3 linked regions of the Notamacropus eugenii genome follow. The protein of the gene in region 3 purifies or fractionates together with the protein of the main gene of each other region. This does not show direct contact. Links are inferred from orthologs where the notes say so. Each region holds a gene or a part of one and is shown on either strand. Other genes may lie near its edges. The genes, in order: GADD45A, GADD45B and MAP3K4.

The links.
Region 1: the proteins of MAP3K4 (region 3) and GADD45A purify together in Homo sapiens (co-immunoprecipitation; 3 studies listed by BioGRID and IntAct, with this or other methods). This does not show direct contact. The link is inferred for Notamacropus eugenii from reciprocal best matches to the Homo sapiens genes MAP3K4 and GADD45A.
Region 2: the proteins of MAP3K4 (region 3) and GADD45B purify together in Homo sapiens (co-immunoprecipitation; 3 studies listed by BioGRID and IntAct, counting the BioPlex papers as one, with this or other methods). This does not show direct contact. The link is inferred for Notamacropus eugenii from reciprocal best matches to the Homo sapiens genes MAP3K4 and GADD45B.

Annotation. Positions count from the first base shown.
Region 1 is NC_092873.1:528,182,952-528,191,631, reverse strand, and holds the start of GADD45A (growth arrest and DNA damage-inducible protein GADD45 alpha), read right to left. Parts: upstream 3,250-8,680; 5' UTR 2,893-3,249; coding exon 2,849-2,892; intron 2,288-2,848; coding exon 2,186-2,287; intron 1,772-2,185; coding exon 1,519-1,771; intron 16-1,518; coding exon 1-15. UniProt on the Homo sapiens protein: In T-cells, functions as a regulator of p38 MAPKs by inhibiting p88 phosphorylation and activity.
Region 2 is NC_092875.1:63,542,122-63,549,897, forward strand, and holds GADD45B (growth arrest and DNA damage-inducible protein GADD45 beta), read right to left. Parts: upstream 3,138-7,776; 5' UTR 2,805-3,137; coding exon 2,761-2,804; intron 2,497-2,760; coding exon 2,395-2,496; intron 2,194-2,394; coding exon 1,971-2,193; intron 1,578-1,970; coding exon 1,464-1,577; 3' UTR 783-1,463; downstream 1-782.
Region 3 is NC_092873.1:254,422,925-254,430,436, forward strand, and holds the start of MAP3K4 (mitogen-activated protein kinase kinase kinase 4), read left to right. Parts: upstream 1-3,954; coding exon 3,955-4,112; intron 4,113-7,512. UniProt on the Homo sapiens protein: Component of a protein kinase signal transduction cascade. Activates the CSBP2, P38 and JNK MAPK pathways, but not the ERK pathway. Specifically phosphorylates and activates MAP2K4 and MAP2K6.

The sequences.
Region 1 (8,680 bases), about 270 Mb from region 3:
AGAGGAATGTGGATTCTGGAAAGAAATGAATACTTCAAGTTAAAAAACTGGTAATGCATTTTTCAAAACCCAAGCAATTTGCTAATAATAACCAGGACACGGTCTGTGCAGGGGAAGAGGAACATGGGGAGTTCTATTTCCTACTAAGTGTCTCAGAGAAATAAATTAACGTAAGGCTTCCCCACCCACCACCGATGGCCCGAGGGGTTGCTATGGGAAACGCCCAGAAGCCTCGGGTTAATTTCTTGAAGGGGGGGCGGGGTGTCACAGGAGAAATCTGAACCCAGGGCTCCCAGAATCGGAAGGCTGGGCTGGGCTCCACTCCCCCCACCACAATCTCTCTCTAGGCAGCCTTACAAAACATTACAAAAATATCCGCTATCGTTACATTTTTCCTGGAGTTGATCCAAGCATCTCAAAGGCCCTGTTCTCCGGTGGGAGCACAAGACCGGCCACACACAATCGTGGGTTTGCATGAGTGATAACGATCTGTCCATATGAATGACCTCCTCCAGCACTACAGCGGACTGAACCCTAGGTGGCCCCGTTCTTTGCACATGAAAGCAGAGAAGTAGCAATAAGCTACTAGAAGGCAGAGGATTTTTATTTTTCACGGTTACAGATGGCACCTGGAGCTGTGCTTTTGGGGCATCTCTTTTAAGGACTAGGGTAGAGGGTGGCCACAAGCATGAGCTCACACGTTCAAAGCATCAGCTCGATTTCATAATAGTTAAACTACATACTTCTTGCGGCACTTAAAAAAGAACAGAGCCAGAAAAAAAAAAACAAACCAAGCTGTTTATTCTCTGGCTAGCTTTAAAAAATTGATATTTAAAAGGCCAAAAATAAGTGGAAACCAGACCTTCCCAGATCAATGAAGGAAGATGGTTCGATGGTCTCCTTCCAACTCCAAATTTACGCTCCTCTGCTCTTTACCTCTAAACTCAGGACTTGCCTACCCTCCAACAGGCATGAAGGTTAAAAAAAAAAAAACCCTCCCTTTTTCAAAAAATGCAAGTTTTCAGGGAAATTTTCCACTGTCCTCCCCAATGGATTTCCAGGGAATTAGCAACGTCTGCCTCTTTCTTCCCCCCCCCCCCCCCCCACAGTGTTCCTATTTATAGCTTGGACTGGCAGAGAATGGAGGTGACTCCTTAATGAGGGTGAGCCAGGAATTCACTTGGCTTTATCTAATCTGCACTGCTAAAAGAATTAGTCACGGGAGGCGGACGGACAGAAGGAGGCCGCTGGGCGCCCGGGGCGCTGACTCATGCCCAGCGATCTCTTCCGAGCCGGCCAGGCAGCCCGGGCACTGGGGAGAAGCAAACGAGTTGGGGCATGTTCTGCGCTGACAAGAGTCCTGATGATGAAACCAGCACCTTTCGGTTCAAAGTCCAGCCGGCCTTTGAAGTGGGGCAAAAGGCAGCCCCCTCCCCCTTGGGTGCCAGCGCTGGCTCTCGGGGCGGCCATCAGGTGACGATCAGGTGGAGGCCGCCCATCCCCCTCCAGTTCACTTACCGTCACCAGGACGCAGTGCAGGTCCGGGGGCTGCTCGGCTCCCCCGCCCGAGGCTGTGGCGGTGGCCGAGGCCGGGCCACCCGTGCCCAGCAGCAGCAGCTCGGCCAGGCGCCCGGGGTTGCTGACCCGCAGGATGTCTATGTCATTCTCGCAGCAGAAAGCCTGGATGAGGGTGAAATGGATCTGCAGGGCCACGTCCCGGTCGTCGTCCTCGTCTGCGGCCAGCAGGCACAGCACCACGTTATCGGGGTCCCTGCAGCGAGGAGGGGCACCCGGACGGTCAGGGCCTGGGGGAGGGGGCGGGAAGGGCTCCCCCACACACACACACTGGCAGCCCGCAGAGCCCCCACCCAGCACGCCCGAGGAGCTCCACAGATGCACGCACACACAGGCAGGAGGGCAGCCATGCCCAGCCGCCAGCTCCGTGACGCAGGCACACGCGTGCCCACCACGCAGGGACTCGCTCCCACACGCATGCACCCAGCGGCCCTATCCCAGAAAACTACAGATAGTGGAGTTCCCAGAAAAGGAAAGGGCAGACAAAAAGGGAGGGGGCGGTGTGGCAGAAAAGAGTATCCCCGAAGTGGGGCGCACGGTAGGGAGGGGAGGAAAGTGGGGCGCGGAGGGGGAGGGGAGACAGGTGCTCGCCGCCCCCTCCCCCACTTACACATTGAGCAGTTTCGCCGCCTCGTAGACCCCAACCGTGATACTCCGCTGACTCAGGGCTTTACTGAGAACCTCCTCCAGGGCATCCCCGACCTTGTCCATCCTGACAGCGGGCACAGGGGAGGCAGACCCGTCAGTCACACCCGGGGGCAGGTTCAGGCTGGGTCCTTACCCCCTCAGCCCCACCCCCATGCCCATGCACACAATTCCACAGCCAGGCATCCCCGGGGGTCACGAAACTGGGCATTAACTTCTGCAAACCCGACTCTCCCCCCTACCCCCCCACCAGCCCCGCACTTAGCTTGTCACCTCCCCGCCCTGCCCTCGCAAGCACCCACACAAGCGTGCCCACGACCAAGTCCACATGCACGGGCCGGTGAGAAAAGTGCCATTTCCCACTCGCCGCCCTCCCCACACTGGGGACATTTCCTGTCCTCGGAACTCAGCCCACACCCCAAACTGCAGACCGCAGAAGCCACGGGCGGGGGCGGGGGCCCCCCCACGGGGCCCGGCGGGGGCTTCTCCAGCTGGGGCTCCTCCAGCTGGGTGCCAGGGGGCAGCGGTTCTGCCAGCCCGGTGGTCCCCCACCCCTGCTCGCGCTTAAGGCAGAGCGGTCCAGCCCCTGCCCTTTTCCCGACAGGGCAGCGCTGCCCCCCCAGCTCACCCTTCAGTTTTCTGTTCTCCGGCCGCGAATTCCTCCAAAGTCATATTGCTCTGGCAGGTCCGGTCCCCGTCCCCCCCCCGCCCCCCCGCAGCGCGGCGTGCGCTGCAGCAGCTGCTGCCCCTGCCCGGCTGCCCTGCCCCGGCTGCCGCCCGGGTCCTGGCGCCCCGGCTCTGAGCTGCCCGCCTGGCCCGGGCTGTGCACCGGTTGCACCGGCTGCAGCAGCAGCGCCGCCTGGCTCCCTCGCTCCGGCCCGGTCGCCCTGGGGCCGCCGCCGCCTCCTCTCTGCCGGCGGCGGATCGCTCGCTCCCTAGTCCACCCGCAGCCTCAGGACGCACCAACAGACTGAAGCTGCTCCACAGCCGGTGAAGGACAAAGAGCCCGGCTCCGCGGCGTTATCCTACCTACACCCAGCCAACCAACTCCAGCCTTATTTGCATACGACTCACCCATTGGAAGATGCAAATCAACCCTCTCAGGCAATTTGACCTTCTCGCAGAGGCCTAGCCGGAGAGAGCCCCGCGGAAAGGGGCGGTGCCTGCAGGGGGCAGGACCCGAAGGGGGCGTGGCTGGGGGGGGGCAGAAGGCCTCCCGAAGGGGGTGGAACACGCTCCGCCTCGCCCTTCCCATTGGCCCTGGGCGGCTGAGGAGGAGGAGCCTGGAGCGGAGCTGGGCAGGGTAAGGGAGTCCGTCCATCCCGCGGAGCCGGGGAGGTTTCAGGTGTCTCGCTGGCCGCGCACGTTTTTGTCCGCGTTGGTTTCGTGCCCTTTTGTTCCAGAGGCTCGCTCCTAAATGCCCTCTGCGGGGCTCATGCCTCCGGTAATTATTAGCGAGGGCAGGCCCCACGTAAAAAGAGAAAGGAGGGTGGCCAGCCCTCAGGGGCGAAGTCCGCGCGCCAGGGCTGTTTGTGCCAGTCTGGGCAAGGGTGCTTATTATTAGGGCGAGGATCTCGGTGCCACCGTGGCTGCGTGGGCCTCTTTGGGGCACCGGGTGCTCGGGGGGGGTGCTGGGGAGCAGAGGTCGGCTCCCTTCGGGGGCCTCCCAGCTGCCAGAGGAGAGGGGCATGGGCTTGCGGGTGGCTGGCGCAGCCCCGGGTCCCCTTTGGCATTCAGAGCTGCTCTCAGCTCTGAAAAATGCATGCCCCCTGGCACCGGAGCAGTGCCCTGAGCCCCCCTGTGTGTGAACTCGGAGCCCAGGGGAGGCTGGCTCACTGCAGTTACACATTTTGTAAAAATAATAATAATAACTGGAAAGTTAGGCAGCTGATGTTGGGTGGCATTTTTTATAGCGCTTCAAGGTTTGAAAAATGCATGTTATCTCCTGTGATGCTCGCGACAGCCCTGGAAGATGGGCGCTGTTATGATACACATTTTACAAATGAAGCCAATGAGGCTGAGAGGGATGGAGTGACTGGCCCAGGGGCACCCAGCTAAATGTGAAGGGTGGACTTTGAACCTGGGGCTTGATAATATAAGTTAGCACTTGGCAAAGGCCTCCCTGAGGACTTTGGGAGGTAGGCACTATTATCATCGTCATTTTACAAATAAGGAAATTGAGGCAGACGATGTGACTTACCCAGAGTCAAACAGCTAGCAAGCCCCAAGGTTGACACCGGATCTGGGTGCTCCATCCATTGTGACACCTAGCTGCCCTTCTGGCTCCAAACCGAGGACTCTGCCTTTCTATAAGATGACCTTACTTCTTGGGAAATGGGAGTGATTGCCAAAGCTACCTTCTATGGTGGCAGGGGGTCAGATGGGTAAGAAATGGGGAAACTGAGACTGAGAAAAGCAAGCTGATTTTTCTAGAGTAACAGAGCTGTCAGGGGTGGATTTTGCACCCACGTCTTGCTGTATGAAACCTCCTTGGACATGATGCCTCTTGGGAAAGGGGAGATACTACCATCAAGGCCTCATCCAGTTCTGAAAGGATCAGCTCCTTTCTCCAGCCTTTCCCACCTTATTCCCTTGGATATGCACGGTTTTATTCCCCAGAGCTCCTCTATATCCCTCTACTTTTCAGTTGGTGCTACTGTTATAATCATGCCCATTTTACAGATCATGAAAACTGAGGCTGACTTGCCCACAGATCAAGGATTGGAAGAGACCTCAGAAACCATCTCATCCACCCATTCATTTTTTAGCAGATGAGGAAACCAAGGCCCTAGGGTCACCTAAGTGACATGCCCAAGGTCACCCAGGTAGTAAAATGTCTGAGACAAGATTTATCCAAGCCTTACTCCGTTCAATCCAACATGCATTTTAAAGTACCTACTATGTGCCTGAGGCTGCTCTGGGCTTTGACAGCTTTCTCAGACATTCTGATGCCCCTGTTTAAAATATCAGCGTTCACAGAATGATCTAAATGCACATGTGTACAAAGCTATTTCTTAGACCATCTAAATTCCCCCCAAATAATGAAAATGCTTCCCTGGGGCTGGTAGGTCATAACAGGGCTGGTGTGACTGTGGTCACTGCGTGGGCAAAGGTAGAGACGTTTGGCTGGGGAGGGGGGCTGCTCCCCCCACCATGTTTATGTCTTCCTTGATAAATTGCTTAGGGTTCTGTTGATCCTGATATGATGGGGAGAGGCTGAAAGTGGGTTACACTGAACATTCAGCGGGTGATTCCTGCCCTGGCCTTGAGCTGCTTTTTCTAAGTGAAAGAAAACAGATGAAGAAAAGGGAGAGGGAGGCGGGTCTCCCATGTATCTTGCGTGGAGATCAGCCTCTTGGGACTTGTTGCCCCTGCTTATCCCACATCTCATCTTATAACAGTGACAGTTTTCTTCTTTTAATAATATTTTACTTTTTTCCAATTATGTGTAAAGACAATTTTTAGCATTTATTTTTTAGCACTAAAGCATTCAAGTTTACAAAGCACTTGACCATTATTATCTCATTTGATCCTCCCTACAGTCCCTGGGAGGGAAGTGTTATCATATGCCCATTTACAGATGAGGAAACTGAGGAGACAGCCCAGGGTCACACAGCTAGGAAGTGACTGAGGCTCAATTTGAACTCAGGTCTATCCGAACTCCAAGCCCCTCCCAGGTACCTCTGGAACCCAACCATCCCCGCTAGATTCTTCGGCTCCTATCATATTTCTGAAACTTTTGCCCGGGTCTTCATGTACACTGGCACCAACCTGGTACAAGCCCTTTTAATAACTTCCTAGACTGTCACAGCAGCTCCCAAACGTCTTACTTTTACTCCACCCCACCTCCAAGCCATAGAAACTGCTGCCTGACTGTGGTTCCTTAAGCATTGATCTGGTGATGTTTCTCCTCCTGTGGTCAAAATCCTCCCCTGGCTCCCTTTTGCCCACTGAGCCAAGATCAGACTTCCACAGTCTATACTGCCTGGCCTGTCTACTCATTTTATCTTGTCCTACTCACCTCTGTCCACCAGAAAGAACTCCACACCTCACTCAACTGTGAACTCCTTGAGGGAGGGCAGGGAAGGCAGAAGTCTTTGCCTTTCTTAGCTCAGTGCCCCCCCCAGACCCCCAAAGTAAGTGTAAAATAAATGCTTGTTGCTTGACTGACTGACCTCTAGCTAACCTAGAGGATTTTCTGGCCCAAAGTGTCCTAACAGTTGTATACCTTGGCTCTAGCCAGGGCTCTAGCCCTATACTCGGCATTTCTTCTCCTCCTTCTCTCTGTCTTTTTTTTCTCTCTTTATCTTTCTGGTCTCTTCCTCTGTCTCTTTCTGTCACCTCTGTCTCTCTGTGTGTCTCTGTCATCTCTCTTTCTCTCTCTGTTTCTGTCTCTCCTAGAGTATTATTGGTTTCTCCCTAGGTAGAGGGGGACTACTGCATCAGGAATTCTGGGTCAGGTGTAGAACCAGAGGACCTTGGGTCCCTCCCACCTCTGAGATTCTGGGTTTCCATGATGTGGTTTCCATCCCACCCCTTCAGTCTATATTCTGCCCCTCTCAGGGTCTCTGCATCCTCCTCTGAAAAGTGGGCCAGCTGGATGACCTCTTGGGTCCTTTCAAGCTCCAAAGATCATGACATATAACATAGGACACATGCATTGTGACAAGAAATGACTTGAGGTGCTCAGGGCACTTTGTTAGCAGGCTTTTCTCTGCCCCCAGATCCACTGTCCCCTTTCAGGAAAGGCATGTGCTGGAAGTTGTTTTATCACCTTCGCGTCATTACTGGGCCAAGCTCCAAGGCTTCCAGTATTTCATCAGTGCTCATTTGCTGTGATTTCTAGCTCAGATGTTCACTTACATCATCCCTGCCCTGTGCTGCTGAATTCACCCAGCACCATTTCATCCCTCCCTGTCTCCTGGATATAGGACCCCCCCTCCTCAGTGTCCCACAAACAGGTTGTGAGGCAGCGAGCCATCACATCACTCCAAGAGTACCAAGACCTGATGCTGGTACACCCACTGGAGCCTCACAACTATCCCAAATGGGTACTGCTGCCTATATGGTGATGCCCACTTTACAGATAAGAGTGAGGCCCAGAGAGTTGAACTAACCTCTCCAAGGCTACATGGTGAGAAAGAGCCAGAGGTGGGGATTTGAGCCCTGGACTTCCTACCTCTCTAACCCCTGTGCACCACAGCCTGTTTAGGTGTAGCAGTGGTGCAGTAGCCCCTCTAGATGGGGCATAAAAATTGCTAGTTAGGTGATCAACTGATTGGCAGGCTTTTATTAGCCAGGCACTGTGCCAGGAGATTTCGCCCCAAATGGTCCCTGCTCTCAAGAGGATGGAATTCTATCAGAATAAGTACATTAAGTTATCGAGCAATTTCCCTTCCCACGACTGAATGAGCATTGATTAAGCACCTACTGTGTGCCAGGCACCAGGCTAAGGAGGTTCTGATGTTTTACTTAGAAGTGACATTAAATTCTGACTCAATAAATTTTGACACTGTTAGCTGTCTTAAGAGAAGAGGTGTTGGACTTGGAGTCAGGAAGACCTGGGATCCAAATCCTGCCTCTGATTCTTATTAACTGGGTGACCGTAGTGGGGGGAGGGGGCAGCTTAAACTCTCTGGGTCTCAGGACCTCTCTGCATTTTCGTTTTTCAGGTAATCAGGACTAAGTGACTTGCCCAGGGTCACATAGCTACTAAGTGTCTGAGGTCAAATTTGAACTCAGGTCCTCATGACTTCAGAGCTGGTGTTCTATCCAAGTTGCCATTAGCAAATGCCTCCTGGGGCCTCTTTAAGATTTACCTTCTGAGTCAGTGGTTTTCCAGGACCATTTCTGGGTATCTTCAAGGTCAAAATTATTTTCATAATAATTCTAAAATGTTTTAACTTTTAATCTGGTAAATATCTATCAGTACTACTTGTAATTCCAGTGCCTCCCCTCTGTTCTCTGCTTCCCATTTATCCCCTATATAGCTCGATTTGTATTTATCCCTAGTGAGCAACTGCTTTTATTATCCCCATACCACAGCTGTGGAGCCTGGGGCTCGGAGAGATATCCTTCCTGGGGTCACCCAATTATTGAAATGTGTCAAGGATGGGATTTGAACCAGGGTCTGCTCCTGTCTCAAGTTAGTGTTCTATCCACTGTGCTCCAGAGAGAAACAAAAATGCTCCTGATGCTTGTTCCTTGCCCTGACTAGTCCTCCTTAGAAGAGAAGATTCCTTCTACTACCCTAAATGGAGAAGCTGCCAGCTCCCCGGTGTCCTGTGGCATTGGGGTTCACTGATCAGTGATGAGGCATCATCTGCTTTCTCATTAGCACCAATGAAGTCAATGTCCATACCAGGAGGTGGTGAGGGACTGGGGGGTTGGGATGAGTCTAGCCCTAACCTATACCAAGGGCTGTCATCAGCTTAGCTTTTTAAACTTGGTTTCCTTATCC
Region 2 (7,776 bases), on a different chromosome or scaffold from region 3:
TCTCCTCTCTGCACATAAGAGTTCTGCAGAATTGAGGGGGAGGGAGGAAAGTCAATGCCTATCTCCCCACCTGCATGCAGCCTGCCACCTGTGTGACCACCTCTCTGGCTCTTTTCTCATCTGTAAACATCTGGACCAAATGAGCTCAGATCCACTCCCATCCACTTCTAAGATCTTATGAAAAGTTTCTGGACTCAAATCAGGAGATGCAGGCTCCAGTCCCAGGTCTTCCCACAAACTTTGCTACATGACCTCGGTTGGGCAAATCTCTTCCCCTGGGAGCTCATGTCTCTATTTGCAAAAAGGAGAGATAAAGGGAAGGGGCGGGGATAGAAAGGGGCAGTCGGGCTGTCTGTGGTAGATTTGCCACCTCTCCAATTTTGAGTTCTGCCTAATTGAGAACGGGGCAGGCGCCAAAGGAGACAGGTTTCTAAAGCTGCGCTCACGGGGCACACGCCACCGTGGAGAGTTGCTGAGTTTCGCAATAAACCGGTCCTTTAATTGCTGTGCCAAGGGGAGAGGGAGGGAAGAGAGAAGAGAGGAGGGGAAGGAAAAAAAAGAGTTAGGCCTTTGTTATTAGTTTGAGGCCTTGGCGCCGACCACAGAAACTGCAGTGTTTTTGCAAACGAGCAGCAAGTTACTCCTGAAGTGGTTTTTAACAGGGAGTTAAGACTTCCTGGTCTAAGGCTGCAGGACAACGTAGAGCTGAGCTCCCTCTGGGGCAGCTGAGCCGTGAAAGGGACTGGGGGAGGGGGCAGAAGAGCCAACACGTACAGGAGCCGGAGAGTGCAGAAATTTATTACCAAAGCAACATTAAACACACACACAAAAATAGAGCTATAGATATAAACTTTTCTTCTCTTTCCAAACGGCTCGATGAGTGCAACAACGTCAAAATATATCTGTATATGTATATTGTTTGCAGACTGGGAGCTCCTAAGCATACAGCAGCAGCAGCCTGTCCCAGGCTCCCGGTCCCAGTAGGTCTCTCTAGACCTCCCACCATCAAGTCTTGGTGGCAAATGCCAACTCCCATTTGCAACAGTTAACAGGTCATTGTGGCCGGCCGGAGGGGCAGCCCGACCATCTCGTCTCCATGCATAGTCCCTTAGTGGTGGGGGAAGGCAGGTCTTCCTCCTAATTCCCCGACCCAATCACTGGACTCCAGGCATCTGGATTCCAAGGCCCCATGGTCACCTTCTCGCTCTGGCTGGTGGATCTTCCTGAGGCCGACACAGTCCCACCTCTCAGCTCTGTCATTCCTGACCCCAGGCTCCACTAGGTCCTGACAGAGGTTGCAGGTGTTTCTTCACCCCATTTCAGCAAGAACATTCTGTCCCTTACACCTCTTCCCCACAGTGGTCTTGATGGTTGGGATCTGGTGTGGTTTGGGAAGGGGGGGGTTGTTTTTTTTTTTTTAATGTGTCTGCAAGGCAGCAATTTTCCAAGTTTGGGGAAGGCTATCAGCGCTCCTGGAGGGAGATGTTGGGGAGCCACTGGTTGTTCTCTCGGCTTTCCTCACAGTAGCTAGCCACTTCTACCAGTCCATGGCTCTTCCATGAGTCAGTATGAGGATTCTGAGGGGGTAAGAAAAATAAAAAGAGCATTAGGCTAAGGAGGCTCAAGTAAGCAGCACTCTTCCCTCCCCCTCCCCCATTCAGAAAAACAAGGCCCATCCCAAAATAGCAACAAGTTATGAGTTATAGGCCTGGCTGGGCGGGGATACCTGGGCATTGGCCCATGGGTGCCCGGAATAGCTCAGTGCTGAGCTGGCCAGGGCACGAGATGCCCTTTCTTCAAGCCAGATGGCAAGAGATGGAATGCTGAGCCTTGTTTCCCCACCTCCTTGTGTGAACCATGTTGACAAACAAAATAACTTCTCTCTCCCAGCAGGCCCTGAAGGTCCCCATCTATTTGTCCCAGTTGCTAAGTAACCCTGCCCCAAGCTAGGGAGGGACAAGCTCACCCACCGTGACCAGAAGGCAGTGCAGATCCCGGGACTCCTCGCTCTCTTCCGTGGGCCCCGGCTCCCCCAGCAGCTCGGCCAGCCTCCTCATCCCAGACACCCGAACTATATCTATGTCGTTGTCACAGCAAAAGGCCTGGATCAACGTGAAATGGATCTGCAAGGCGATGTCATCCTCCTCATCCTCATCGATAGCCAAAAGGCAAAGGACCACACTGTCTGGGTCTCTGAACACGGGGAAAGAGGGGAAGGAGAGGGGGAGAGAGAGAGGTGAGCAACCCTCGGCAAGGGAAGGGGCTCGCGCTCTTTGGTGGCATGTTGCAAAACTCCTACTGCACATTCGTAGGCTGTGCACCAGGGGAAAGCGGTACCCCATCGCCCACCAGCCCCCCACCCCGGCAGCATGAAAAAGACAGGCAGAAACTCACACATTCATCAGCTTAGCCGACTCATACACGCCCACTGTCAGGCGGTCTTGGCGCTGCGCCGCTACCAGCAACTCCTCCACCGCATGGCTCACCGTCTGCATCCTGGAGAGAAACCGAGGCACAGAGCGTAAGAGATCAGGAAAGGCGATGGGGTGAAGAAGAGAAGGGGCGACTGCAGATAGTCCTTTTCAGAGGTAGGGACCCCCTCCCCCTTGGACACTCAGAGAGGCGAAGGAATGGGTCCGAGGCCCCGCTCGGCAGCAAGGCAGCAACATTGGGAGCCCAGCCCAGGGAGGTCATCGGAGCCTGGGGCATCTATCTGTCCCACGGGAGGGAGGGGAATTCAACCCCCGGCTGGACACTCACTTCTGAGCCGCACTCTCGCAGGCTACGACTTCTTCCAAGGTCATGGTGCAATTGTAATCCACAGTGGAAGAAGCCCCCAAGTCAGTCGGTAACAGAAAAGCCGAGACCTCGAAGCCCAAATCGGCCGAGTCTGGAGCAAGGCGTCCCTCCGTCCCGAGAGAGGAGGTGGCGGCGGCGGTGGCAAGCCACGGGTGCCGAGGCTGAAAAGCCGGAGCAAGGAGGAGAGAATTCTTCAAAAAAACCCCCAAAACCCAAGATCCCCGAGTCAATGCGATTAATCCAGCGAGCAAGCGAACGAGAAGCGGCAGACAAATCCAAGCGGCGTTAAATCCAAGGCGTCCGCGAGATCCGCAACAGTTCCAAACCTCTACTGCCGCGGCTGCCGCCGCGTCCTCCTTATATGGCCTTCGATGGGAAAGGGGGCGTGGCCTAGCAGAAGCCTCCGCTGCGTTCATTGGCGGCCCGATCAACGAAAATCAAGGCAACTCTGGCTACTATTGGCTCGGGGTGCGGAGCAGCGGGCGGCTTTGGGCAGGCTCGGATCTCCCCCGGGGCAACCCCACGTGGGGGCGCGAGGCGCAGGAAGGGGGGGGGAGTAGCTGAGAACGGTTGGGTTTTTTTTTTTTTTAAAGGAGGTTTCGAGTGAGTTTCCCGGCAGCGGCTCCCAGTTTCTGCACGGGATTTCCACCGCGCGCCTAGTGCATGTGATTTTGCAGAAAGCTGCCTTCCGGAAGGAGAGAGCTGACTCGGTGACACCACTGCAGCCCTCCTGGCGCGTTCGTGTCCCAGTTCCCCCAGCCCCTGCACCCGGGCAGAGTTTTCAAAGGTAGTCTGCGCCGGAATCCCAGCCCGGCGTCGGGCTTCTTGTTCCCGGGCTCGGGGAGCCCAGTTCGACCAGCCAGCCCCTCTGCACGGCGCGCTTCCCCGAGCTGCAGCCAGAGCCTAAAGGGGGAGAGGGCTGGAAATAATCCAGCACCTTAAAGTTTATAAAGCGGCTGCACAGCCTTAATCGGCACTCCCCCCGCATCCCCTCCCCACATTCCTGCACTTATAGGTTTGCAAAACAAAGCATTTCACCCCACCCCACCCCCAACAACAACCCGGTCAAGTTAGCAGTGCGTGTATGAGCGCCTCCATTTCACAGACGAAAAAACTGCCTCTGACAAGTTAAGTGTCCTACCAGTCACACGGAAAGTGTGCACTCTTTTTCACTACACACCAAGAGTTATGCAAATGGTGTTTAATTTCATTTAACAGATGGGGAAACTGAGATTCTGGACAGGGAGCTGCTTGCCCAGAGACAGTATCAGAGCAGGGATTGAATCCAGGTTTCGATTAACACCGAGTCCCGTGGCCCTTTCTATGATCACGTCTGGGTGCCTACCTAAATTTGGAATCTGTGTGACCTGAGGCAAGTCCCTTCCCTTCTCCAGGCTCTAGTTTCTTCTGCAAAAGAAGCAAGGTGGGCTAAATGATCTCCAAGGTCCCTTCTAGCTCTTAGTCCTGGGATTCTGGAATTCTTTTCTGTCCGGATGCAATTTGTTTCTAGCAGAGAGGAGCCCAGTAATATCTTGCTGAGGTCCCCTAACTCATCCTAGACATAGGGCAGCTCCCTGAAAAGGCCTCCAAACGGTCTAAAAATAATGTTTCGAAGGGAGAGGGGATTTTCCCAGGACATCTAGCCTTGTAATAAAGAGGACCTTTTCTGGGATCTCAATAGCGTGGAACCTGAAAGTTGCCAGACGATTGTCTGGGCCGCCCAGGGAACAGCTTCCACCTCAAAGTCAGAGCCAGGGAAGGGGAAGAAGCCCCCCACGACTCGTAGGAAAGCGTATTAGACCGAGTCTTGGGCTCCAGGCTAAGGCCTTTATAGCTGAGTGAGAAAGTCACTCAAGGGCAATTCAGACTCTTGGAGACTTAGTTTTCTCATCTGGAAAATGGGGACAAATATGTGCAGTCTATGGATAGTGAGGGGAGATGTAAAGCTTAATGGTTGTTCTTCTGCACTGACAGTGAAAAGAGGCATGTAAGATGGGGCGAGGGGCAAGGGAAGGGTCCCTGGCTCCTCGCTTCCCCTAGGGTGGGTGGAGTGAGACACGAGAGCTGGAGTGGCTTCAGCCTTCGGGGCTGCTTCTCAGACAGCCCAGCGTGGCGCCAAGTAACGTTGGCGCACACTCTGCACAGCCGGGGACCCTGCCTCCTCCACTGTGGGTGCGCACAGAGTGCCTGGGGGCGGTGAGTGGGGAATGGGGGGAGCGAACAAGTGACGGCAAGCGTCCTCTCCGTCTGGGGCGATGGCGCCCTCTGCCGGCAACTCTCTGCTCCCAGTCTGGCGTTCACAGCCCCGAGCCTGGAGATGTGGGCGGAGGGGGTGGGTGGGGAAGGGGCGAGGATAAAAAGGTCTTAGAGTAGATTGTCAGAGCTGGGGGCGGGGGAGGGGGAGAGGAGGAAGACAGAACGTAAGAACTGAGAAGATTCTTAAAACACAGGCTGTCAGAGCTGGGAGGGCCCCTAGAACCCAGAATGTCAGAGCTGGATGGGCGCTTAGAACATAGAATGTCAGACCTTGGGGGTGTCCTTAGCACACAGAGCACTTAGAACATAGAATGTCGGAGCTGGATTGGACCCCTAAAACATAGAAAGTCAAAAATAAAAGATTTATAATACATGAGATAGAATGTCGGAGAGACCATGTAGTCCAAGTCCCTTACTTTTCCGAGGAAGAAACGGAGACCTCTGGGGGTGAATGGTCAAGGCAAGGTCACATAGCTCACAAATATTAGATCCAAGATTAAAGCCCTAATCTCCAGTCTAGGACTTCACCAGCTGCTGCTTACATTGTTAACATTATACCCTCCATGACCTTACTCAGTTTTCCTAGTGCCTCAGTTTCTCCCCTCTGTACAGTGGACAGGCTAAAGTCCCCTGGTCTGGCAAGGGAGGTGGACGGAGAGTCCAGAAGGCATCTAAATTCTGCTCTCAGATCTACTGCTGAATGGCTGAGTGGATCTTAGACAAGTCATTCTGGGTCTCTAAACCTTTTCAGAGTCTGAGGCCTGAAGAATTCACCGTATCAGTGTAAGGGCCGTGGTCAGTAAGGGCTCCATATGGACTACGACTCAAACTGAAGGGAATGTTTTGTCTGGGATAAGAGAAGACAGGATGTTTTCAAATACTTAAAGGGCTATCTTGTGGAAGCATATTGAATACAGGGCCAGGCCTGGAATCAGGAAGACCTGAGTTCCCATCCAGCCACAGACACTTAGCAGCTGTGTGACCCTGGGCAAGTCACTTCACTATGTTTGCCTCAGTTTCCTCATCTGTAAAACGAGCTGGAGAAGGAAATGAAAAACCATTCCAGTATGTTTACCAAGAAAACCCCAATTGGGGTCACAAAGAGTCAGATATGACTGAAAAATGACTGAACAGCAGCATTCAATATAGGGCTTACTATGTACCAGGCCCTGTGCTTTACAATTATGACTTCATCTGGTCTTACAACAGCCCGGAGAGGTAGGGGCTATTACTATCTCCATTTTATAGATGAGAAAACTGAGAGAAACAGAGGTAAAGTGACTTGCCCAGGGTCATACAACTAGGACAGGTCAGACCCTTCCTAACTGTGTAGACTTCCATTCCTGAAGGGTCTTTAAACAAACACTGAGTGATCATTATAAGGAATGTTAGATGGGATGCCTACTAAGGTGTGCCAGGTTGGACCTGATGCCCTACAAGGTCCCTTCCAACTCTGGGATTCAATGATTAGAGGTGAACATTGTAGAATAAGCCCTGGTTTTGAGATAGAGGACCCAAACGCAAACACCACGGCTATTAGAAAATTACCTATGCAGCTCTAGGCGTTAGCTTCATCTCTCTGGGCCTCAGTTGATCCATACGTAAAATGGGAGAAGGGAATGTGTGTTTGACTGTATGATATCTAAAGCTGCTTCCTGTTCTGACATTCTATCATTCTCAACTCTCAGGGATTTTTATTCTGAAGAGCTACTGCCCAGGCAGGAAACATGGTTCGCTAGTACCATCTGTTGGCCAACAAGAGTATTACCAGCCCAGAGACAAACTCAGGGTTTATAGCTGATGACAAGGGCAGAGCCCCCATGGGGAAATAAAGGGAAGGGAGGGAGCCCTTTGTGCAGAGGAAGGAAGGAGAGCCTGGCCCAGGTCTGACTGGGCCTGAAAGGGAGGATTGGGACTGCCAGGGGAAATTCCATTTAGGGGTGAGAGGGCAGGGGAGGAAGGGGAGGGGAGAGGAGGGTGGGGAAGGAGGTTAGGGAAGAGAGAGAGGGGAGGGGAGAGAGGGGAGGGCAAATGTCAAAGATCAGTCATGTGCCTGTATGGGAGAGGGAACTAATCACCTAGGGAGACCTAGTCAGCAAGACTGGGGAAGGATCATAGAGATCTCTGAGGTCATTTAGTGCTCCTCATTTTACAGATGGGCCCAGACTGGCCCAAGGTCTAAAGTTCTAAGTGTGAAAGATTGATTTTGGATCTAGACCCTCTGACTCTCCAGCCAGTTTTTTCCCTTTTCCACTATATGTTTCCATCCTCACTCATGTCAGAGCAAACTGCCCTCACTTTCTCCTGCCCCTTTTCCACTCCCCTCTTCATCCCCTCCCCACCTACCAAGCCTTCCCATGCCATGAGATCAAATGATGAACTAAAGAGGCTTCCTAAGGCTGGTTATAATGCAAAACCAAAAACCCCCTCTGGATTTGGAGAGACTAGGAATGGTGACTTGAGAACCTGATTGCCAACTTACAGGTAGGTTAGGTGATCCTGAGTAAGTCACACAGTCACTGACCTTTCTGGGCCTCAGATGTGGAATCACTAAAATGAGGTGGTTGGACTAGAAGATTTCACTGATCTCTAAAAGCTCAGTCACTCTTTGTGCCATGTTCTAAGGGCCTTCAAAACTCTGTCTCTGCTATCTGTGCACATGAATCTGACTGAGTTCCTTCCCTGAGTTGCAATGCATTGTTTCCCTCATCTATAAAAATA
Region 3 (7,512 bases):
AGTGAAGCATCTTTATTAGAATCACAGAAGAGAATTTATGAGACTAATTGATATTTCTCTACTCCCATTTTACAGATGAAGACACTAAAGTTCAGTAAGATTAAATAACTTGCTCAATGTCACATAGCCAGAAAATGGGAGAGCTAGGACTAGACTTTAGGCCAATGGTCTTTCCACTATACTACATGTATCAGTAGTCACATGAATTAGAGTCACATCAGTCCCTATTCTGGAGACAGAGTGATTGGAAGAGATTGAACTGAAAATGGTGCCATGCATTCAGTAATCATATTTAATTGAAGATAAAATAAAGATTGTCCTTTACTAGGTTCCCTTGAGTATATTTTTGTTGTTGTTCAGTCATTTTTCAGTTGTGATGGACTCTTTGAGACCCCATCAGCAATTTTCTTGGCAAAGATACTGGAGAGGTTTGCTATTTCCTTCTCCTGCTCATTTGACAGATTTTACTCCCTTGAGTAAATATAAGCACTTAATAAAGTTAATTATGTAAATAAAGGTAGATGTTCAGTTGTGTATCTGACTCTTCAGGACCCTGTAGACAGTTGGTTTCCATGGGGTTTCCTTGGCAAAGATACTGGAGTGAAATGGTTTGCTATTTTATTCTTTAGTGGATTAAGGCAAACAGAGGTTAAGTGACTTGTCCAGGATCACACGACGGGTGAATATCTGAGGTTGAATTAGACCTCAGCTCTTCCTGACTATAGGGTGGGTCAATGCTCTATCCACTGAGCAATGAGCCTTCTTATTTGGGTGTCTAGAATGAACTTAGATAGGAGGTATGATATAGTGGTGACAGCACAGTATCTGAGGCCAGGTATAGGTTTAATGACATTGATCCTGGCTGTATGACAGTGGCCAAGTCATTTAACCATTCACCTATAAAATGTGAATAATAACATTTATAAAACTTACCTCACAGGGTTGTAAGGAAAACCCTTCAAGTGCTAGATAAAAGGGAGCTGTAATTACTGGTCATGGGAACACAGTATGTGGGATATGTCAAGGAAGCAGAATATTGCTGTTACCTTTTTGACTACAGGCAGTTACATAAGTTTCTGGGCCTATTTGTTCAGTCCAGACTCTTTAAGCTCTAAATCCTATATTTAATCCTTTATTGGTCTTTTATCCTATCCCTCAAATATTAAAATATTAAATTAATTCAATTTAGGATTCAAAGGGTTAAATGATCATAATTCAGTATAAACTCCTTGCAAAGAGTGGTTGCCTAATAAATATTTGATGAATTGAAGGATAATTATAATAATTATTTTAAAAATATTGTATTGAGCATTGTACACATATTTTTTTTTTTTTATTACAGAGCCAGGGAAGAAAAAACTGAATGACTTCAGGAATTAAGCTAAATATAATTAATTTGAAAAGAAAGGAATACTACATTCAAATGATTGTACATCACAGAACAATCTTGACAATCCATCCATTCAAAGAAGAAAAAATTTTATTTTTCCTAGCTTTGGTGGGATAAACAAAAAAGTGAAGGCATATATGGCTTTACTTACTAAAACTATTTAGGAAAACCTTATGGAATGTTGTGACATTTGATCTTGTTAAAAAACATAAGAGAAAACAACCAATTGCTGCAGCAGGGTGGTATAGTAGAAAGGGTAATGGTCCCCCAGCTTTCATTCCTAGCTCTGATACTTCTTATTTTATCAGTCACAAGCAAGTCATTTAACTTCTCATACATAAAATGAGACCAGTAGAGTACTTTGGATTCTGCCTACCTCACAAAGTTGTTGAAACTGAAAACCTTAAAAGGAAGTATAAATGAGTTGTTATTGTTATAATGGAATTTAAAAAATAATTTAGTGACCCTCGTACAGATCAGAAAAATCATTATTACAAAAATCATTTTTGCCTTATTCTGAATTGGAAATAAATTATACTTAACAGTCAATTTTTTAATCTTCATGATTTTTATAAATCTTTTTGTTTTCTGTATGAAATCATAGATGAACAATGATTCTTAAAATGAATTTATGTATCTAAATTTCATGAATGCCATTGTAGGAATATAGTTCAACTAATAAATCAAGACAGGAAATAGAAATGCATGTTCTCTAACTACAGGGAAAAGTGTTGTAGACTTTGAATGTTAAACAGTTAATTGCACATCCAGGAAAATGCTGATGGTTCAAATCTAATATCGTTACATTCAAACAAGAATTTTTTTAATGAGACTTGCGTAAAAAGTACGTCCTGGAGTTTCTGTAGGAATTTTGTAGTTATAAGTATGCTTGATTCTTGATGCAATAAGTTATCCACCTCCTTATCAAAGAGGTGATAGATTAAGTGTACAGACTAACATACTTTTTTGAACATGGCCAAGGAGGGAATCTGTTTTTCTTTACTATGCAAACTTGTTACAAAGGATTTTTTTCTTTTTTCCAGTAGGATGGAATTTGGGAGAGAGAGAAAATATATTTAATTAAAAAAAAAGGTTAAAAAAGATAGGAAAGATCTTCCCCAATACCTTTGCAGATGTCCAAGGTGCAGAAGATTGTACATATATGTGTATATTAATTTGACTAATGCATATAAATATACACTATTCCATATAACTATAAAATTTTTAAAAAATGTTGATCGACTTTGCTGATTTTTTCCTGTTTTCTTTAAAAAAAATGAGTGGGGGGAGATGGGAGATGGAATTTAGCTGATGTTAAAACAAAAGAAAAATTATTTTTCAAAAGTGCAGAATTAATTTTCACAAACCAGAAATTGAGAAAAATGTCATTATCATTTCTTTTAAAAAATGTTTAGCGGGGCGATTAAAAAATGCTTTAAATGTAAAGTTTTTGCAAAATGCTCCGACATCCTCTTGGGCAAGCTTATCTTTCTGCTGTGGATCGGACTGTTTCTACAGCTCCTTAATGGATCCGGCAGCAGTGTTTTTTCATTGGGCCCTTTGCTCGATTCATTTAATGGTCTCGGGTGGTGGCACGCATTTTTAGGTCCCCCGGGGTATCAGTTTAAAATCGTTTCTCAAAAACCCTGCTTTGGAGCAGAAGGGTGCCGCTGACTTCAGCCCATCCAACTCCACCCCGGCCGGCCTCTCGCACAGCGGGGGGCGCCGGGGTGATGTAGATTTCACTTTCCCTGCCCGTAAATTGGGGGGGAATCTGCCATCTGTAGGTGTGGCGGGGACTCATTTGCAAAGATCTGCAAAGACTCGAAACTTCCCAAGGCACAAGCATTACTTGGCCACGGTGGCAAGGTCGACCCTTACTTTGCTTCTAGTGTTTGCCTCTAAAATAGTATCTTATTTAGGAAATGTGGTAATAATATCGCGGACGGGCTCCCCTTTGATGGCATTCCACCATTCCTGAGACATAACGACCAGATCTGGGCAATCAGAAGTCTCAGTAAATACCCTGCAGCCTTCAGGCTCGTCACCTCCCTCCTCTCTTGTAGATTACAGAAAGTGACCGGGATCGCCCAGCAGGGGCCCAGGAAAGCCCGGCCACCCGGACCCGAGCTCCCGGTGACACCCGGCACGCTTTCCTAGCATCCTCCGCAGCGGGCCCCCGGCCTGGAGACTGGGCCCCCCCGCCCCAACTCCAGCTCTTCCCCCCCCCCCCCCCCCCCCCCCCCGCTGCGTCCCTCCTCCCCTTTGCCCCTCCCTTCCCCGGTCGTCTTCTCCGCCCCGTGGAATTCCAGAGCCCGCAGCAGCCGCCCGCGTCGCCGCCCTCGGGAGGCTTGTCCCTCGACGCCCGCCGTAGCCGGGCTCTCTCTAGGCTGGTCGCCGTTTCCAAGATGGCCGCGGCGCGGACGCTCCCGGGCCGAAGGGCTCCCGCCGCCGGATAGAGGCGGAGACGGCGTCCAGCGAGCCTCCCGACCCCCGTGCTTCCTCCAGTCTGTGCCCGGCTGCAGCCTCTCTTTCGCCGCCGCCATGCCGGGCTCGGTGCACGGATGAGAGAGGCCGTGGCCGCCGCCGAGCTGGTCCCCCCTCCCGCCGGAGCCGCCGCCGCCGCCGCCGCCGTCACCGCCATGGAGGAGCCGCCGCCGCCGCCGCCGCCGCCGCCGCCGCCGGAGCTGCAGCTGGAGCTGGAGGGCTGCCAGGCGGCGAGGTAAGGACTGCGGCGGCGCCTGCAGCGCCAGCCCGGGTTCTGGCTGGAGGCTGCGGGGGCGGGGGCAGCTGCAGCTGGTGCTTCCCGCCAGGTAACTGGGAGGGGGGTCGGAGGGGGGGGTCGCTCCGCTCAGGTGCTGCTCGTTAGCGGGGCTCCCCCTCGGTCCCCCCTTATTGGGGGAGCGGGCGTGCTGGCGACTGGTCCTGGGCCAGGAGACTGGGTCCCGCGAGGTGGGGAGGGGAAGCACGCTCTCTCTCTCCCCAGGGCACTTGTGAAAAGTGGGTTTCTCTTCGCTTTTACCCCCGCGGCGCGCTCCCCCCTCCCCCGTTAGAGGGGGCGGATGTATCTGGAAGGGAATGTGCAGCCCCCTCTTTCTGGCCTTCACGTTTTGAAGTACTTGGGGCGCCCCCCGCTTGCCTCCCCCGGTAGCCAGCAGTCCGCGGGGCAGCCTTTGGCCCCCCTTTTTTCTTTCCTTCTTGGGTACCCAGCAGTCAGCATTTAGACTGGGGCCTTTTGTGCTTTGAGGACCGAGTGTGCGAACGAACTGGTACACGCGTTTGAGTCACGTCACGCACCCTCTGTCTGGGCACGAACACCTCAGCCAGCCTGGGTACCCACCGAGCCGCCGTGCAGTCTGCTACCTCTTGCATCCGTCGGTGACCGTGATGATTTCTTGCCCTTTTTTTTAGTTGAGAGAGAAATTACACGAACTCTTTGGTGCATCAAAAGGTTATTTTTTAAAATGAGTTTGGGTACCCTCTCCGTGCGACTAGGCGCTGAACCCCTCTGTGCACTCCTTTCCAAAGAAGTTCATCACCTGGTGGCCAACTTTGTGGGGATGATGGTCTGGAACTTCGCTAGGCCAGCCCTTTGGGAGGCTGTGCCTTGCTGGACTTGCTGGAGCTTGCTCTTAGCTGGAGCTCGGGGTCATCCCCGGGCCACGATGAATCCTTGGAATAGGACTCTAGTGGAGGTGCTCAAACTCACAGTACTGGAATAAGAAACACACTTTTCCTTTTGTACCTATGCTTGCATATTAAAGTATCCTCCTCTTGCCCTGCTGCTGAGTGAGTTTTCGAAGTACTGCCCCCTGTCTTTCCACGTTGTAAGTACTTAACTTATTCTATGCATCTTTTTAGTTTGGCAAGCTAGTTATTTCAAGTCAGGAAACATTTTTTAAGGGCTTACTATGTGCTAGGCACTGTGCTAAGTGCACCAGGGAAAGGCAAAAGCCACCTCCCTGTCCTCGAGATGTTGATTTCTTGGAGAGAATATGAAAACGTCTAGGAACAGAATGTAGAAAGAATCATTTGGAGATAATAGAGGATAGGCACTAGGATTACAGAGGATCAAGCAAGACTTCTTGTAAAATATAAGATTTTGCTGCTCCTTCAAAGAAACCAGGGAAGGTAGGAGGAGAAGATGAAGGGGAGGATATCCAGGACTTGGAGAACAGTCATTAAGAATGCCCAGAGCCTTGGGATGTAGTGCCCTGTGGGAGGAACCGCAGGGAGGTTTGTGTCTGTGGATTGCAGAATGTTCTGGGGCAAAGGAAAGGTTTTTGGAGGGCTTTGAATGCCTAAAAGAGCCTAGAGGTGATAGGGAGTGTATTCTGTGAAGAGGAGGGATGACTTTGTTTGATCTGAGTTTTAGGATGATTAATTAACATAGTGAATCAGGAGCAGATAGGTAACCGTATTTCTTTTTTCCTTCCTGACTCAAGAAATAAGAATACAGGGGGAAAGGAGGGACTAGATTTAGAAAGAAATCAAGTTAAGAATGGTTTAGTGGCTAGTGCTGGACTTGAAATCAAGGTCTGCATTTATAACCCTACCTCTCCTGAAACTTAAATGAAATTACTCTGCATACCTTAAAGAACTAATCATTGCTAGCACTCATATGGTGCTATATAGTTTGCAAAACAGTTTACAAATATCGTCTCATTTGATCTCCACAAAAATCCCAGGTAGATGGTTGTGATTACTATTTCCATTTTATACAAGATTAGTGGCTTGTTGGGAGTCAATAAGCGTTAGGGGCCTGATTTGAATTCCTGACTCCAGGTCCAGCTCTGTTATCTATTGCACCACCTGGTTGCCTCAACTATTACAGTTATATGTCTGATTCGCTAGTCAGAGATGGGTTTGTGTGGATCGCTATTCCACTTCATCTCTTTGACACACTTTAGTAAACTAAGGAAAAATGTCTCTGAGAAATGATAATAGGGCAGTGTGGGAATGAAGATACGTAGGAAAAAACCCCAGGTTTTATTCCATTTGAATCTGTTTAACTTTAAAAGTTTCTTTTGAGATAAGTTCATGGCTGCAGTTTTTGAGTTATTTTTATCTGTTTTACTGGGGCTTTTGAAAAACATGGTCATTGCAGAAGTAGTAAATAGCTAATGCAATACCTGATGGCTAAAAGAAATTATTGATGTTTTGAATAATAATCAAGTTAAACTTTGAAAAGAGTGAATGTTAAAATATTTTCAAGGGAGAAAGGGCAAGGAGCTCTGTACACAGAAATGCCTTTGAGGTGATTTAATTCTCTGATAACAAAAGAAAAAACATTAATTTTGTTTTCAGGGAGATGTCACTTTTCCTTACAAGGCTAAAATATAGGTACTAATAGGTAAGGTAGTGCTTTTAAAAAAGTTTTCTGAATACTTTACATATTTGTCTGCTTTAGTCAAAGGGCTCTTAACAAAATTATTCAAAGCAACCTTCCATTTGATTTTGTAGGAGAAAATAACTTTGTAAAATGTCACTCCACAAATTTGGACTTAGTCCCCTTAGCTGTTTCGTGCCACTCTTTACAACTCTGAAGGCTGATTTTGAGCAAGATATTACTATTGGTAATCTGCCAGGATAATTAACCCCATCCAGTGGTTGAGGTCATGTGCTCTTCACCCTCTGCAACTCAAATCATTGGTTGAAGCTTTAGTTTCTGAATTAGATGGATTGTGATTTTAGTCCAGTGCTAAGTACTCGAGATACAAAGAAAGGCAAAAACTGGATCCCTGCCCTCAAGGAGCTCACATTCCAGTGGAGAACAACTAGCAAACAATTATTTACATACCGATATATACAATGTAAAAAGGAGGTAATAACCGAGGGAGGGAAAACACTACCACTGGTAGGGAGGTGGGAGGGGAAGAGAGTGTACAAATATTTATCAGGCACATAGTGCCTGCTATGTGCCAGGTACTGTGCTAAACTCTACAAATATTATCTCACTTGATCCTCACTACCTTTGAGGTAGGTCCTGCTTTTATCCCATTTTAAATTTGAGTAAACTGAGGCAGAGAAAGGTTAAGTGACTTTCCTAGAGTCAGTCTGCTAGGAAGTGTCTGCTCTATTTGAACACACCACTGGTCCTTCTGACTTCTGGCCTTCATTGA